Linked DNA regions of Tamandua tetradactyla. The protein of the gene in region 1 binds, or shares a complex with, the protein of each later gene. Links are inferred from orthologs where the notes say so. Each region holds a gene or a part of one and is shown on either strand. Other genes may lie near its edges.

What was found.
Region 2: the proteins of CALCR (region 1) and RAMP2 are in contact, whole or in part, in a cryo-EM structure (PDB 7TYX), measured with the Homo sapiens proteins. The link is inferred for Tamandua tetradactyla from reciprocal best matches to the Homo sapiens genes CALCR and RAMP2. Residues at the interface, in NP_001158210.1 of Homo sapiens: Arg45, Lys46, Met48, Met49, Asp50, Gln52, Tyr53, Lys54, Tyr56, Asp57, Met59, Gln60, Trp76, Gly78, Arg126, Phe235, Leu238, Ile242, Thr246, Val250, Glu255, Lys256, Gln257, Arg258, Trp261, Tyr262, Leu264, Leu265, Phe269, Pro273; in NP_005845.2 of Homo sapiens: Trp86, Tyr93, Ser94, Arg97, Asp98, Glu101, Leu109, Pro112, Glu117, Ile120, Phe121, His124, Phe128, Cys131, Pro136, Phe138, Ser139, Asp140, Pro141, Leu146, Met149, Ile150, Pro153, Ile154, Leu156, Ile157, Leu160, Ile161, Leu163, Val164.

What each region holds. Positions count from the first base shown.
Region 1 is NC_135327.1:122,630,295-122,637,990, forward strand, and holds the start of CALCR (calcitonin receptor), read left to right. Parts: upstream 1-4,539; coding exon 4,540-4,590; intron 4,591-7,696. UniProt on the Homo sapiens protein: G protein-coupled receptor activated by ligand peptides amylin (IAPP), calcitonin (CT/CALCA) and calcitonin gene-related peptide type 1 (CGRP1/CALCA).
Region 2 is NC_135332.1:24,492,259-24,500,255, reverse strand, and holds RAMP2 (receptor activity-modifying protein 2), read left to right. Parts: upstream 1-4,931; 5' UTR 4,932-5,908; coding exon 5,909-6,005; intron 6,006-6,453; coding exon 6,454-6,519; intron 6,520-7,002; coding exon 7,003-7,114; intron 7,115-7,241; coding exon 7,242-7,497; 3' UTR 7,498-7,678; downstream 7,679-7,997. UniProt on the Homo sapiens protein: Accessory protein that interacts with and modulates the function of G-protein coupled receptors including calcitonin gene-related peptide type 1 receptor (CALCRL) and calcitonin receptor (CALCR). Required for the transport of CALCRL to the plasma membrane.

The DNA.
Region 1 (7,696 bases):
TCTCTTAAAGGGGTGCAAGGGTAGTTCAGTGGTAGAATTCTCACCTACCATGAGAGAAATTCAGGTTTGATTCCCAGTCCATGCACTTCCTCCCTAGCCCCCCTAAAAATTCAACAAATGGTGCTGCAATAACAGGATAGTCTCATGGAGAAAGAATGAAATGTGACCCCCACCACACAGCATGCAAAAAAAGTTCTATTCGGTTTGCCAGTTGTATCTTGAAATACCAATCTTGAATTGATCACCTCAATCAGAAATCATTCCACCCTCCTCTGAATCCCTTTATTTGCACCATTTTAATGACCTTTTTACTCAGCCTGCATTATAGTTTTGGGTTTTTATTTTTATCACAAGTTTTCCATCATCCATACCTATTCCCAGGCCCCACCTGCATGTTCAGTTTCTTGTAATAGGCCCATAACTCATACCGCTCATCCATATATTCCTTGTAGTGCCTTGGCACTTAATACATACATGTGTGTGTTTTCAATTTGCTGAGTGCACTTGAAATAAATCAGAAATAATGAAAAATGACCAGCCTATATGATAACACTTCAAAATTATTCCTTCTATTCTCAATTTCCTGTGGTACTGATATATGAATTGAACACAATTACTCTTTGGGGAACAAGTATATTAGGCACACATCATAGATACTAAATTAAAAAGCAGATACATAAAATCTGTAAGTGATACAATAACTAGTGTAAGATGCAATCATAACCACTAACCCAAATTTTACACAAATCCCACTGATGACAAGAAATTCTTTTTTTCTGTGTTTGGGACAAAGCAGTCAGTTCTTGACTATTGTGGTATTGAATAAGAGTGATGGACTGTTAGATCACATGCTCAATCTTTGCTCTGGAAGAAGTGTATTCTTAATAGCAGCTTAAAGCTTGAAGGAAAAAGTATAGGAAAGTAAAATACCCAAGGCTCTACAAAGAGTGTAATTAAAGAGTCAGTGTATTGGTTTTTTAATGCTGCTGAAAGCAATATACCAAAAATGGGTTGGCTCTTATAAGGGAATTTATTAAGTTGTAATTTTACAGTTCTAAGGTCATAAAAATGTCCAAATTAAGGATTCCAGAGAAAAATACCTTGGCTCAAGAAAGGCTAATGGGTCCAGAACACCTCTGTTAGATGGGAAAGCATGTGGCTGGCATCTGCTGGAGTCTTTGGCTTCTGTTTTCAAATAGCTTCCCCCGGGGCATTTATTTTCTGCATCTCCAAGCATCTGGGTCTTGAGTTGGCTCTGTTCGCTCTCTCTGTCCAAAGTGTTTCCCCTTTTAAAGGACTCCAGTAAACTAACCAAGACACACCTAAATGGGCAGAGTCACAGCTCCATTTAATCAAAAGGTCACATCCACATAACATTTTTAAACTGGCAGAGGTGGCCCTCAACTAACTATAGAGCATGACGATTCACAAATCACAGATTTTATTTGTTCATGTACAATGAGATGATTCTTTATGAGATGTCTCCTTGGCAATATTCATCTGCTCTATTGATGAAACATGCTAACTGAAGTCCACATTGATTTTTCTTATTGTCTCCAGATCCTTTATTTTGGTCCTTATGTACAGAGGTAGCTCTGGAATTCCTTAATAAATGGGCTTAGAAGCAAAAGTGTGGTTGAAAGGAGGGATAACAGAATCTGCAGCTGCATTTGCATAGCAAGCATACTGTTTTTACTTCTATTGTATTCTATTTAGGGCAACTTGAAGGGTTTACACCTATTCTTCTACTTCTCCAGCCTCACTCGCCTACCCCTTCTGCTTAGCCACCTTCTGGCACCACAACTGAGCTAATGAGCAATTGCATATGTGTGACCACCCAGACTTTACACCTCTTGTTTAGCATTCAATCACTATAAAATAGCAGAGGCTCTATTAAGCTAGAATCATCACCTTGTTCAAAAACAAAAGCACTGTGAATTTCATTGTCTAACTAAATGGGTCTATTTAAGAGTTGTATGGTGAATAACTTGCACAATGGTACTTGGTGGCCCTCTGTTAAGCAGTCTCTTACTGGATTTGGAACACATAGGTGGTTCTGGTTTGTTGCCAGAATGTATTATAGATTGTTTTAGTTTGTTAATGTTGCCGGAAATGCAATATACCAGAAATGGGCTGGCTTTTATAAAGGGAATTTATTAAGTTACAATTATACAGTTCTAAGGCCATGAAAATATCCAAACTAAGGCATCCAGAGAAAGGTACCTTGACTCAAGGAAGGCTGATCTGGGAAGTCACTTGGCTTGCATCTGCTGGTCCTTTGGGTTCTCATTTCAAACAGCTTCCCTGGGCAGTGTTTTCTTTCTGCATCTCCAAATGCCTATCTTTGTCAGCTCGAAAGCTTTTCCCAAAATGTTTTCCTCTTAAAGGACTCCACTTAGAGACACATCTCCATGGACACCACCTAATCAAAAGATCCTACCCACAATTAGGTGGGTCACATATCCATGGAAACAACTAAATCAAAAGGATCTCACCAAAAAGAACATGGCTTTTGTGAGGTACACAACACTTTCAAACCAGCACATAAATCTTGGTGACACAGTGCCTAAATTCTGTGACTGGCTTTGTAGCAGGCAGGCCTTGCCCTCTTTCTGGTTTAGCTGTGCTCTCTGTGGAAAATCCCCAAACCCCTCTCCTTGCAGGCAAGTGAGATAAGGCACATTTCCTGGGATAGAAACCCCCTCCCCTAGCCTTCAGAACTGGTGAAGATGCACATAGGCAAGAGAAGACATTCCTGGGGTGGGGGCCCCTCAATGGTTCAGCTCTGGGCCATTCTCAACTTAAATCAGCCAATTGTTTACCTTGTCTTTAACATGTCAAAGAGTCTATAAAAGCTAAGGTTGCCTTTTGTTCGGGGCTCAAACTTTCAGAGGCGACTTGGCTGAGCCCTATGGCCATAGCAAATAAAACCTGCTTCCTGAAACTACGGATCCTTAGTTTCAGCCTGTTCTAACTTCGCTGAACGTTCCTGGAGGCCTGTGGCCTCGTTCCTGGTTTTTGCACTACAGCTTCCTCTAGGTATTGGTCCATCATATTCTCAGATGAATGCATGGGTTTCTTCATGTATGTAGGAATAACTTTATGTGAAGAGCAATCCTTTTACTCTTGCATAGAAGGCAATGTGTGTTGCTCTCCTTCAGAGTGTAATTTCCTTACACAAGGCACCTGATTCACTATCAACTGGTTATTCATAAGACACTACAGTAAAACTGAGTTGTAAGGTGGGGGGGTGGAGTATGGTCTAAAAGGTAAAACAATGAGCCCCAATTCATTTGATGACTTGTGTGCTAGATGCTATTTTAGGTGCTTTTTGAATGCTATTACTATAGTTGAAAATTCATATTTCAAGAGAACACAAAATACCAGCCAAAAGCAATGTCTGTCCTATACCTCATGAGTAAAGTGGATCCGGATATAGACCATCAATTCAATGCAATAATGCATAACTGAATGTGAAATTAAATAAAAGTACAGAGATGGCCATGCAATGGCCTAGACCACTAAGTCATATAGGTAGGATGAGAACTAAAGTGAGCAAGTCTTTTTGTGCTATAGGCTATTTTTACAAACAATTTCTCATCTCCATCCCACCCTTCTAACCAATGATGAGCAACCTGATGGTGCCAGCATACAAAATAACAACCTACATCCTTGTTGAAACTATATGTGACTCCTTTGTAAATATGAGTTATTTGTATTTGTTAGCCACTGTAACACATAAATATACAAATTTCTTTAGTTTAGCACAAAAAAAGCTTTGTTTTTCCTTCCAGCAGCATCCAATTGGAAGGGGGCTCTCCTCCATATAGTCATTGAGGGATCCATATTGATGGATGATTTGTTGTCTTCAAAACGTGTGTTCCAAGATTGTCCTGGACCCTGATATTAGAGGCAGAGAATGGAGAATTGGAGGTTTTTAAGGGTCAGGCCTGAAACTGGTGCACATAAACTCTACTTTAATTCTATTAGACAGTCATGTGGCCTCACTAATTGCTAGGTAGGCTGGGAAATGTAGTCTAAAAGTGTTCCCCATAACCACTTCAAATTCTTTTTATCTTCATCATAGGGGTGTAGAAACTAAAGCTCAGAAATAATAAATACTTTGTCCACAATCACAAAACCAGTAAATATAATTCAAACCCATGGATTCTGACTGTTTCTGGCCGGAATAGTATATTGTTTTTATGTCCTGAAGTCATGGTACCTAGGAAATTTTTTATGAAAAGGGGCAAGGAGGTCAGATCTTGTGTTTGTAAGTGATAGTTGTTCTCTGAATTGGGTCGACATTTGATGATTACCTCATGATTTTGTTAGAATTTAGAGACGTCACACATTGAAGTCAGACAGTATGTGGTCTAGAAACCTCTAAAATAATTTTAATTTTTCTTTCTCATCACTTTAAGTCAAATAGAAACCAAAGAAAAATAAAGACTATGATTAATATGAAAGCTATGTCTATTTAATTGTTATTTTTATTTTTTACAGGAGCACAACAGAGGATCATCTTCAAAAACCAAGATGAGGCTAAAAATTACAAGCCGGTGCATCTTCTTGTTCATCTTTCTAAATGTAAGTAAAACAAAATTATTCAGAGCTATATTAGTTTAGAATGTTGGAATAGGGAAGATTGTTTATGACTGACATGATCTTTTTTCTAGAGGCCAAAACTAAGTTCCTAGAAACCACTGTGTTCTTAATATTTTGTTAAATCAAACTGAATTTCCTCTAATTTAAACTAGTGTTACAGCTTACCCAGAATTTTGAGCTTTGCTTGCTTTATGAAAATTAACATTGATTTGAGGCAACATCTCCATATTACCCATTAATCATGGATATTAACATCATAAATTATAATGCTCTCAGATTACACATATATTAGACATGTCTGTTTGAATCACAGTTTCTGAACTGCTGTCCTACTAAAACATCTCAAACTTTTTTATTCTGATTATTAATTTCAAATGTATTCCTCATCAAAAACTAAGAATCTTCAAGTGTTTACCTACTACTGATTCTATAACTCTTTCTCTAAACTTTAAACTGTGACCAGTTTATTTAATTTTATGTTGTTTTTTCCTAAAGGAGGTAGCAAGTAGTGAGAAGTGCGATTGTCTTAGAAAACATTATCAAAGTCTGCTTATTTCAGTCAGCTCTGTTAAGCCATCATCACATCAGCTTCAATAGCACATGAAAGGGAGATGAGTAAGTTTTACATAAATCAATCTGGAGTTATCTCAAACCTTATCCTTTCTATCACGTAAGAATAAAATTTGCCATTGAATTACAGCTGACAGTAAGGACATTCAGTATTCAGTACCGTTTTATTGACCCAAGCAAAGCTTACCCAGAGTGCCAGAATTTCCATTACTTATTAATGTGCAGTTGCAGGCTTATAAATCGAGCTAAGCTGCTTTTCCTTACATTATTTAAGAAAAAGTATTACTAATATTCATGAGTGTATTTTTTCAAGGCAATTTTTATTTTGTAGTGTTACACATCCAGCAAATGCTTTATAGGAATGATTGTTAATTCAACCATTTTGTAGCTGTTTGGATAATGAGTCTAGTTCATTTTATGATGTCTGACTGTCATATTATTTTAACCTATTAAATATTTCTTTAGATGAATTACAGTATAAGTTGCTAAAATTAGTCCAGTATTTGGAAATGCAGGTAACTTCATGTCACTGGAAATGTAATAAAAACATTTGAACAAGAATATATAAGCTAACAGAATATGTAATTTGTCTGTAAATGCCCAAGGTCTTATGTGGCATTCTATAGAGGTAGATATATTGGTATATTTTATTCATAAAGTGATGTTGTTTTTTTTTTTGTAGCTCAAACAAAATCCTTTCATGTGATTAATTATATGCAAATATTTCTATATACATCTGTTTTATAAAGCATATGCTTTTATTTGACATTGATAGAAGAAAAACTAAAATAACTAGGAAATACTAACAAAATAGTTCAAAAATTATATAATCACCTTCTTTGTTACAAAGACTACAGATAATTTTCGGTGTGTTATTAAGTAGTTGATTTTTATTCAAAGCTTTTATTTGATTTATTTTATAATTCAAAGATTGAAAAACATTTCATGCATTTGCATGACCCATGGAAAGAAATATTTTATGGCTTGTGGGCACCTCCTTTATTAACAAACAAAACTGAACAGGGTATTTATGTTGCTCTGTGCTCTCTTTGCTGTGACAGACAGCAATTTGCTTCTCTGTCTGTATTTGGATTATATATTTGATTTGGAAGATTTGTCCATCAAACAAAATCCACTGCAATGTTTATATGATGTTTAAGTGGAAGAAGGTACACAGGACTCCAACCAGGCAACTCATCATATGTGGAAGAACCAGGGTTGATTCTTTACAAATTTTATTTTGTGCTTCATTATTTTGAAAAATATCACTAACTGAAAATCATAAATAGTTCTGACATGGACATTTTCAGTATTTGGGATAGTGTCATAGAAATCTTGTTGGTTATATCAATTTGCAGATTCTGGATCCACATTTTCGGCAAAGCAGGTCTGCCGGTAGCAATCAGTAGAGCTTTTTTCTTTCAGCACAGCAGCATGGGTCCACACGTTCAAAGGGCTTGAACAATTCCAGAGACGTGCCATTTCTCAAAGTTCCAAACAGAACAACCTGCAACTATTCTGTTTTTTATGCTGCTTCTTCTAGAAACTATATGTAACTGAAAGCCAGGCTAACTGGCTTACACTGAAATAGGAATTCCTGAACCTATGGCCTTTCAACTTCTATTGTTTTCCCTGGCCTCCATGATCAGTGTGGATTAAACCCTCTAGAATGTAAGCTCCATCTGGGCAGGGACTTTGCCGAATCTCCAGAACCTACAACAGTGCCTGGCACATAGGAGGTACTCAAGGTACCTATTGGCCGAAAGGACCAGCGATGTTTCGGATGCTGACTACAGATGTTTGTGGCAGTTTGGCAGTCGTATGTGTGGTGCCATTTACTTGAACCTCTAGGAGTGACATCACATATACGGTGGCTAAACTGCTACATGAGCCAACAAGGAAAGAATTTTCTTTTGAAGAAATGTCTTGTATGTGAAATTTTGAGCACTGATCTTTACTCAGAAAGCAATGTTTCATTTCTATGTTCATGTCAACATAGTATCATTACATCTCCAAACTATATTGTATAAAACTAACACTATAAGTAGAATATTTTTAAGTCTTTCCCATTGGTTGGTAGTTTATTATGTTTCCTCTTTATTGTTGAAAACACACCTCACTAGCAATTTGTAACTGTATATAATCATCAGTCAAAAGTTTAATGCATTTAATGAACTTTATGAAATGTGTATATGCATTGAAATAATAGTAATTCCAATGTGTGTGTTATGTCATTTTAGGGAAAAAATCCTTGAAATATTTATCTACTGTTTGGAAAATTCCATCTTCAGTGCTCAAACATTAACCAGACTAGGAGCAGGCTCAGGTTATTATGATTTATCGAACAAAAGAGGCTCCAATTTCTCATTCCTTCAGTGTGGAAACAATCTCTGGTGAGCTGAGTCCCAATCCTTGTTCACTAGAGTTTGTTTCAGCACTGGAAGAATGATAAGATTGATGTTACCATCTTCTACATGAACTATACCTACCCTGATTTTGTATGTTTGTATTGCCACTA
Region 2 (7,997 bases), on another chromosome or scaffold:
ATAGAGTTGTGAGTTTTATGTGAGATAATCTGTGTGAAGCACTGAACATACTGCCTGGCATCCTCAGGGCTTGGTTAATGAGCATTATTATGCCATGTTATACAACATCCTAAGATGGTGGGAGAGGGTAAGAGGGCTCCTGGGGATGGTTTCATAGGATAACCACAGGGAACACAGCCCTTCCTGAGGATTGGGGGGAGGGTGAAAACAATTCTGGCATTGGGCATTGGGCTCTTACAGCAACCATGATTCAGCCCCAGGTGCCGAGGGACCAGCCATGTTCTCGGCACTGCTGGGTGTGTTCTGTGGTCACTTGGCCACGGTCCTCTTCAGTCATGCTGTCTGAACGTCCTTCTTATGAATTCATTCAGAGTTCTTTTCAGAAAAACAGCCCCTACCATATGATGTCATGGTCCAGCCTGAGTCAGGGAAGGAGGGGGAAGGAGAATAAGTGTACTTGGTTGGGTGAAGCAGGATCTTCTCACTCTTTATCCTCCCCTCCTTTCAACATCCAGTAAGAATCAATCATCTGAGCAGGAGTGGGGGGGGAGGGAGATGATATATCATAATAGTTAAGGCCTGAACCTTAATGTTCCAGTCCGAAAGGATTTGTGTACCCTAGAAAAACCTTGTTTTAATCCTAATCAATCTTGTGAGAGCAACGATTTCTTCTAATCCCTATTTAGTACTACAGGTTGTAAACTTGGTTAGGTTATCTTCACAGAGGTGTGACTCCATTGTGGGTATTAAACTTGAGTAGATGGAGATGTGTCTTCACCCATTCTAGTGGGTCTAGATTAGTTTGTGGGAGTCCTATAAAAGAGGAGACAGTTTGGAAAGAGTTCATTTTGAGAATGAGGAGAGAGCTGCAGAACGATAACAGAAGGACGAGAGACCACAGAGTCCACCAGCCAGTGACCTTTACAGATGAAAAAGGAAAACACCTCCCAGGGAGCTTCATAAAGTAAGCGGCCTGGAGAGAAAGCTAGCAGATACACCATCGTGTTTGCCATGTGCCCTTCCAACCGAGAAAGAAATGCTGAACATCATCAGTCTTCTTGAACCAAGGTATCTTTGCCTGGATGCCTTAGGTTGGACATTTCTATAGACTTGTTTTGATTCGGACAATTTCACAGTCTTAGAACTGTAAACTAGCAACTTATTAAATCCCCCTTTTAAAAGCCATTCCGTTTCTGGTATATTGCATTCTGGCAGCTAGCAAACTAGAACACTTAGTATTGAGCAGTCCTGGATTCAAATCCTGACTCTGACAATGATAAGCTCTGGGACCTTGGGCAAAGCATTTAAACTCTCTGATCCTGTTTCCCCATTTTACTCATGAACAGGATAGTTCTGATCCTATGGGGTAGGGCTTTAAGAAATGCATACAAAGCACCTGGCACATGTGTCAGAGAACACACTATGAAGACATAGTTAGGTGAGCATTCAATAAATGGCAGTTACTATTCAGTCCCCAGCGGTTGACGAGGAATACATTTTCTCTGCTTCTTTCTAACTCAGGGACAAATTTTTGTTTAATAACAATTCTCTTTAGGAGGTAATCAAGTTCATCTCATTCTGTAGCTGAGGAACCTGGGGAGAGATTGAGTAGTTGTGTCTCTACCCCTTTGCTTTCCCTCCTTTAGCCAGCTGCCTCCCTGGCTTGCAGCTTCTCAGGTCCTCCCTGCTTCCTTTGATCCCTCTGAAGAATCAGACTCTTCTCAGGAGGGACTTCTAGCTTCTCTGACCCTCTCCCTCACATCTTCTCTGGCGCTCTACTCTTCATTTTGCAGACAGTTTGGACAGAGGCCAGCATGTGTGAATGTCTCTACATGGTAAAGATGCTACTTTCAGGGTGCATATAATTTGCATGGTGTAGGGGGCCCCCAGTGCCTTTTACTCTCTTCTATGTTGTTCTGGATTTAGTGGTTGCATCACCTCTCCCCTGCTCCAGGCAGGAAAGCCCTTGGCAGATAATAAGAAGGGAATTTTTTTACATGTCAGTAAATTCCAGAAGGAATCAATCTAGGTTGGGTCCGGAAATCGCTAGACAATGACCAGCTGGACCGGAATCTGATCCTTTTCTTCCCAGGCACTGGCGGGGAGGAGGGGGGCAGATAGAAGAAAAAATATCTGCCCACTGGATATTAGAAAAAAGAGACTAAAAACAATATTATGCTATGTTAAAAGGAAAGAGGCACATTTATGTATAGTAACATGGAAAGATATGCAAGACCTATTAAGTTTAAAAGTCATTGACAAATAGGTACATTAAATCCCATTTATGTTGTTTTTAATCTAAAATATGTGGGGAGGTAAGTGAGACAGGGTGGAGTTATAGTTTTCTATGTTATGTAAATATTTTACAATTAGTACATACTTATATTTTACCTGTAATGAAAAAAAATTTTTTTATAGCGAAAGCAGAAGTGGGCTAAAAGAGAAGTTAAAGGCCCCCAAGGATGGCTGGAAAGAGGGGGCTTTCCATGATAAAAACAGCCTCAGACCCTGAAAAATCCCTTCCCTGTCTCATATCTGTAGATCATGTGACTATCTCCTATGGCAACTTGGAACAGGAAGGTAAAGTCTCCAGTCTCCTGTTAAGCACTAAGGGGCCCCTATAGCAGACCCTCAGTTACCAAGATGTCCAGCAGTCAATGAAAATATCCACCAGATATTAAATAGGGAAAGGGGGAAAATCAGTAGATTCTCCAATGGGAGGATCTGGACTTCTAAGTTCAGGAATGGTTACATAAGCTCTTCTTTGTAGGTCATTACATTACCATACAAACTTAAACCCAACCCTAAGTTAAACATAACACTTCCTACTGAGTCATCTACATTTCCCTTTTTATTCTACGGCAATTTTATATGTGAAAATGTTGAGGTCCAGAGATATAAAGTGACCTGTCCAAGGTTACACAGTAAGACAGGGGCAGAACCTGGCCTCAGAATCCTAACCATTTTAGGATATTTTAGCCCATTATACCATATTGCCCTATTTCAAACCCAGCATTTGCTTTTGACAACTTCAGTCTTGTCCCGTCCTTAGTCCTAACCCATAGTGGGCTCAGGGGCTTCTGGACCCAGCCCAGTGAAAAAGTCTGGATTTGCTTTCTGTCCCTTGTTGTGCCCTCCTCCCATCTTATAACCCAGGAATCTCCCTCTCAACCATAGCTTCTTCTTGAAAAGGGTACTCGCGGATATTCTGAGAGAAAAGATAGCATTTGGTGTCCAGTCGAAAGTGGCTCTGAAAGAAAGGTGACTCTTCTGCATCACTGCAGGAGATGACCCTTAAAGGTTAACACCAAGCAGGCCACTTCCCCTCTCCCTCTGGAAGCTTTGCTAAATTCACCTCCTGACCCCAGCCGTGGAGGAGGACAACAGGTTGTCAATAGCCACGATTTGAGAGCCTGAGACCCTGAAATAAAGATTTTAAGAGCAAGAGACCATGAAAATTTGCACACCAATGTTTATAGCAGCATTATTTACAATTGCAAAGAGATGGAAACAGCCAAAATCTCCATCAACAGAAGAGTGGCTAAACAAACTGTGGTATATACATACGATGGAATATTATGCAGCTTTAAGACAAGATAAACTTATGAACCATGTAATAACATGGATGGACCTAGAGAATATTATGCTGAGTGAATCCAGCCAAAAACTAAAGGACAAATACTGTATGGTCCCACTGATGTGAACAGACATTCGAGAATAAACTTGAAATATGTCATTGGTAACAGAGTTCAGCAGGAGTTAGAAACAGGGTAAGACAATGGGTAATTGAAGCTGAAGGGATACAGACTGTGCAACAGGACTAGATACAAAAACTCAAAAATGGACAGCACAATAATACCTAATTGTAAAGTAATCATGTTAAAACACTGAATGAAGCTGCATCTGAGCTATAGGTTTTTGTTTTGTTTTGTTTTGTTTTGATTTTACTATTATTACTTTTATTTTTTTCTCTATATTAACATTCTATATCTTTTTCGGTTATGTTGCTAGTTCTTCTAAACCAATGCAAATGTACTAAGAAATGATGATCATGCATCTATGTGATGATGTTAAGAATTAATGATTGCATGTGTAGAATGGTATGATCTCTAAATGTTGGGTTAATTTCTTTTTTTCCGTTAATTAAAAAAAAAAAAAGAGAGAAGGGATAATTGGAGATGAAGGGATACAGACTGTACAACGGGACTGGATATAAAAACTCAGAAATGGACAGCACAATACTACCCAATTGTAATGCAATTATGTTAAAACACTGAATGAAGCTGCATGTGAGGTATAGGTTTTTTGTTTTTGTTTTTTTTGTTTTTTTTTCTTTCTATTATTGTTTTAATTCTTATTCTCTTGTCTTTTTATTTCTCTTTCTAAATCGATGCAAATGTACTAAGAAATGATGAATATGCAACTATGTGATGTTATTAAGAATTACTGATTGTACATGTAGATTGGAATGATTTCTAATTGTTTTGTTAATTCTTTTTTTAATTAATAAAAAAAAAAAAAAAAAAAGAGAGACCATGAAAAATAATTTGTGGTGGGCAAGAATCACTCAACTGGGAAAACAGCAGCTGCTGAGTCCAAGGGTCAGTGTCTGGGAATAATTTAGCAAAGTTCAGTGCTGACAGCTGTGTCTGAGTTGAACGTCATGGCCGTCCCAGCTCCTGGGCTCCTTGGCTGCTTTAGGCTAATGAAGCTCTGGCCCAGGACCCAGAGGCAGCTGTGGTTTAGCTGGGCCCTATGGCCCCAGGATCAACCTTTTTACCTCCTAGCAGCGTGACCTTGGGCAAGTCACTTAGGAAAGGATAAAAGGAAATTAGCATCCGCTGAGTACAATGTCCTTTTGCATATTTCATATTCACTAGTTTGGTGAGGAGGGTAATGCTGTCCCTGTTTTACATGGGAGGGATCTGAGTGTGTGAAGGTCAACAAGTCAAGGCTATACAGCTGGGGACCGCGATGGTAGGGATTAGAATCTAGACCTTCTGACAAGTCCTGTGCCCTTGCTCTGGGCTTCAGCCTCTTTCTCTGTAAAATGGGGATTATGATATATCCATCTCAAAAATGAAGTTGCAAGTTGTAGGTTCTAACAGCCACCCCACTTCTTTCTCATGGCCTTGACCTTTAGGGTGGTAGCTACCTTCTTCCTGGGAATGCAGTCATCTTACTTTTGCCCCTCCCTCCCCAACAGTTTGTGGATCTAGGGCTCAGGCGGTGCCTTGAAGGGAAGGCATTTGGACTTTGGTTTCCCCTCTTTCTTCTACCTCTTCTCCAGACTCTGAGGGCTAGCTCACTCTTTTCCGCCCTAGCTTTGGCAGGCAGGGCCAACAGCAGTGGGTGTTCCCAGGGAAAAGGAACTCTGAGCTGCAGGGCCCAGCTCCAGGCGCCCCTTCTCCCACGGCCCAAGACAGCCTCAACTCCCTGCCTTGGATCCTGCGGGGTCCAGCCTTCCAGCCCCCCTTTCCCGCTTCTTTAGGTCCCGGAGAGCAGCTTTCCCACTCCCACCTCAGCTACAGTGCCCCCCAGAAAAGGGGGCGACTGGAATCAGGGACGCAGATGCAGTGAGACCACGGAGAGTACTGGGCGCCATTCGGCCGAGCCCAGGAAACAGATCCCGGTTCTGGGGTTTCGAGGGGAGCTGTCCAGCCCCGCAGGGTGAGCTGGAAGAAAGGCAGGCCCGCGCCGCCAAGGCGGAGGGAGCAGCAGGCGTCAGCGGCCGGCGGCAGCCGCGACTCCCCCTCAAGCTCGCCCCCCGCCCCCTACGTGGCTGCAGCCGTCCCAGCCCCTCCGAGGAAACGGAGCGGCTTCCTGCACTTCGGCAGGGGATATAGGCGGCCCCACCCGGGCCGGCTCAGTGCCGCCGCCACTCGCCACTTCGCCTCCCAGCAGCGCGATGACCTCGCTCCGGGCGGAGCGCACCGGCGTCCCGCGCTGCGCTGCGATCCGCGCCGGGCTGCCGAGAACGCTCCGCCTCCTACTCCTGCTGAGCGGTGAGCGCAGCGCCCCGGGGCCAGGGCGGGAGATGCGGGGGGCCCGGGAACCGTGCGGGGATGGACGGCCGAGGCTGCGGTGCAGATGCTGAGACACGTACGGACGAGCGCTGTCCTTCGGGATTCCCTGGCCCCAACTTGGTGCGGCGCCGCGCGAGCTGCTTCCAACTTGGGGAAAGCTCAAGTGCCCAGGGCCCAGCTGGGACGTCTTGGGAGGTCTGGGACTGACGAGGGCGGAGAGGGCTCTGGCGACTTGGATGTGAGTGGTACCAGCCCCTCCCTTCCTGGGCATTGAGGATTATGGTTTTTTTTTGGGGGGGGGGGGCTGTATTATTTCTTTTCTCTTCCAAGGGTAGTCCTGACCTCTAAGGGGCTCGGACCCAAATTCTTCAGGCTCCGCTGTCCAGGTCCCCGCCATCCCACCTCCCTTTCCTATATCTGCCTACAGTTGTTGTGAAGCCCCAGGAGTCCCTGGCTCAGCCTCTTCCCACCTCAGGCATCTTGAATTCAGAGGGTGAGTACCAGCTACTACGGGAGGATGCAGGGCAAGGAGGGGAGCCAGATCAACAGGAAGGCTCTCTTTCCCTCCTGGCAGGCCTCAACCTCAAGTGGTACCCCACTAAACCCTCCTCTTTTCTCTCTTGTGATTCCTTGAGGTGTTTTCCCCTCTTATTCCACAATGCCCCTGCCCGGCTCTGAGGTGGCCCACCTTACAGGTGGGTGAGAAGACCCCATGAAAATAGGTGTGCTTCAGCTCTTGTTAGATTGGGAAATATGGTACACATGGAAGGCATTAAATTCCTGGGCCTGGACTGTCTCCTTAGCTAAAAGTGTCATGCTTGGGAAACTTCTCAGGCATTCCTGCGGGTCCCTGTGTTTGAAGAGAGGAACAGGATTCTGAAGAGAGGAACAGGATTCTTTGCTGGAAGTATCTGGGACAGACGGTTTGGGAGGAGGGGCAGGGATGGGATCAATGTGGAGTATCTTCCCTCCACAGGGAAGACAGTGGAGGAGGAATATGAGACAAATGTCCGACAGTGCTGGCAGCATTATAAGGCTTATATGGACTCTATTCAAAAGGATTGGTGTGACTGGGCCATGATTAGCAGGTAGGGGCAGTGCTGGCCGGTGGCTTGGGCCTGGGTGGGGCTGCTCCTTACAGCTGTACCTTGAATGAGTGTGGGGCAGTCCTCTCTCTGGGCCCAACCCCTCACTCAAATCCTCTCCCATCCCCAGGCCTTACAGCAGTCTGCGAGATTGCTTGGAGCTGAATGCTGAAGAGTTTGGCCTGGGCTTCCCCAATCCCTGGGCCGAGAGGATCATCTTTGACACTCACCAGATTCACTTTGCCAACTGCTCCCTGGTGCAGTCCACCTTCTCTGACCCCCCAGAGGATGTGCTCCTGGCCATGATAATAGCCCCCATCTGCCTCATCCCCTTCCTGGTCACCCTTGTGGTATGGCGGAGTAAAGACAGTGAGGCCCAGGCCTAGGGGGCACAAGCTTCTCAGGGGCCATCTTCCCCCTCCCCCCTACTCCCACAAAAATCTCTCTCCTCCCTTCTCTACCCTCTTCTCTCACTCCTACCCCTACTGCAGGTCCTTGGATTGGTGGAAACCAAGCTGGTGGGGTTACACAGCTTTGTAATCTTTAAAATAAACTTTTTTTTTTTTTTACAGTGTTGCTTTCTCCATCCCAATGAGGCCTGTGTCCTTCCCAGACTCTCTGCCACTCCCACAGGCCCTCAGCTCTGGGCAGCAGACTCTGGATGGCCACTTCCCCTCACTGTCCCTCCCCCACCTGAAAACCACACCCCTGCACTTCTTCCTCCCAGGCCAGGCCTTTCCTGCCCCTTTCCAAACTCTGCTCCAGGAAACATGCAGGAAGAGACTCCCTTCCGGTCTGGACAACAGATGGGGGCCAGCAGTTGGGGTGATGTGGGGGGACGGGGGAGGGAGGAATCTCTCCTGTGATTCCTGCAAGAAGAAAGTGG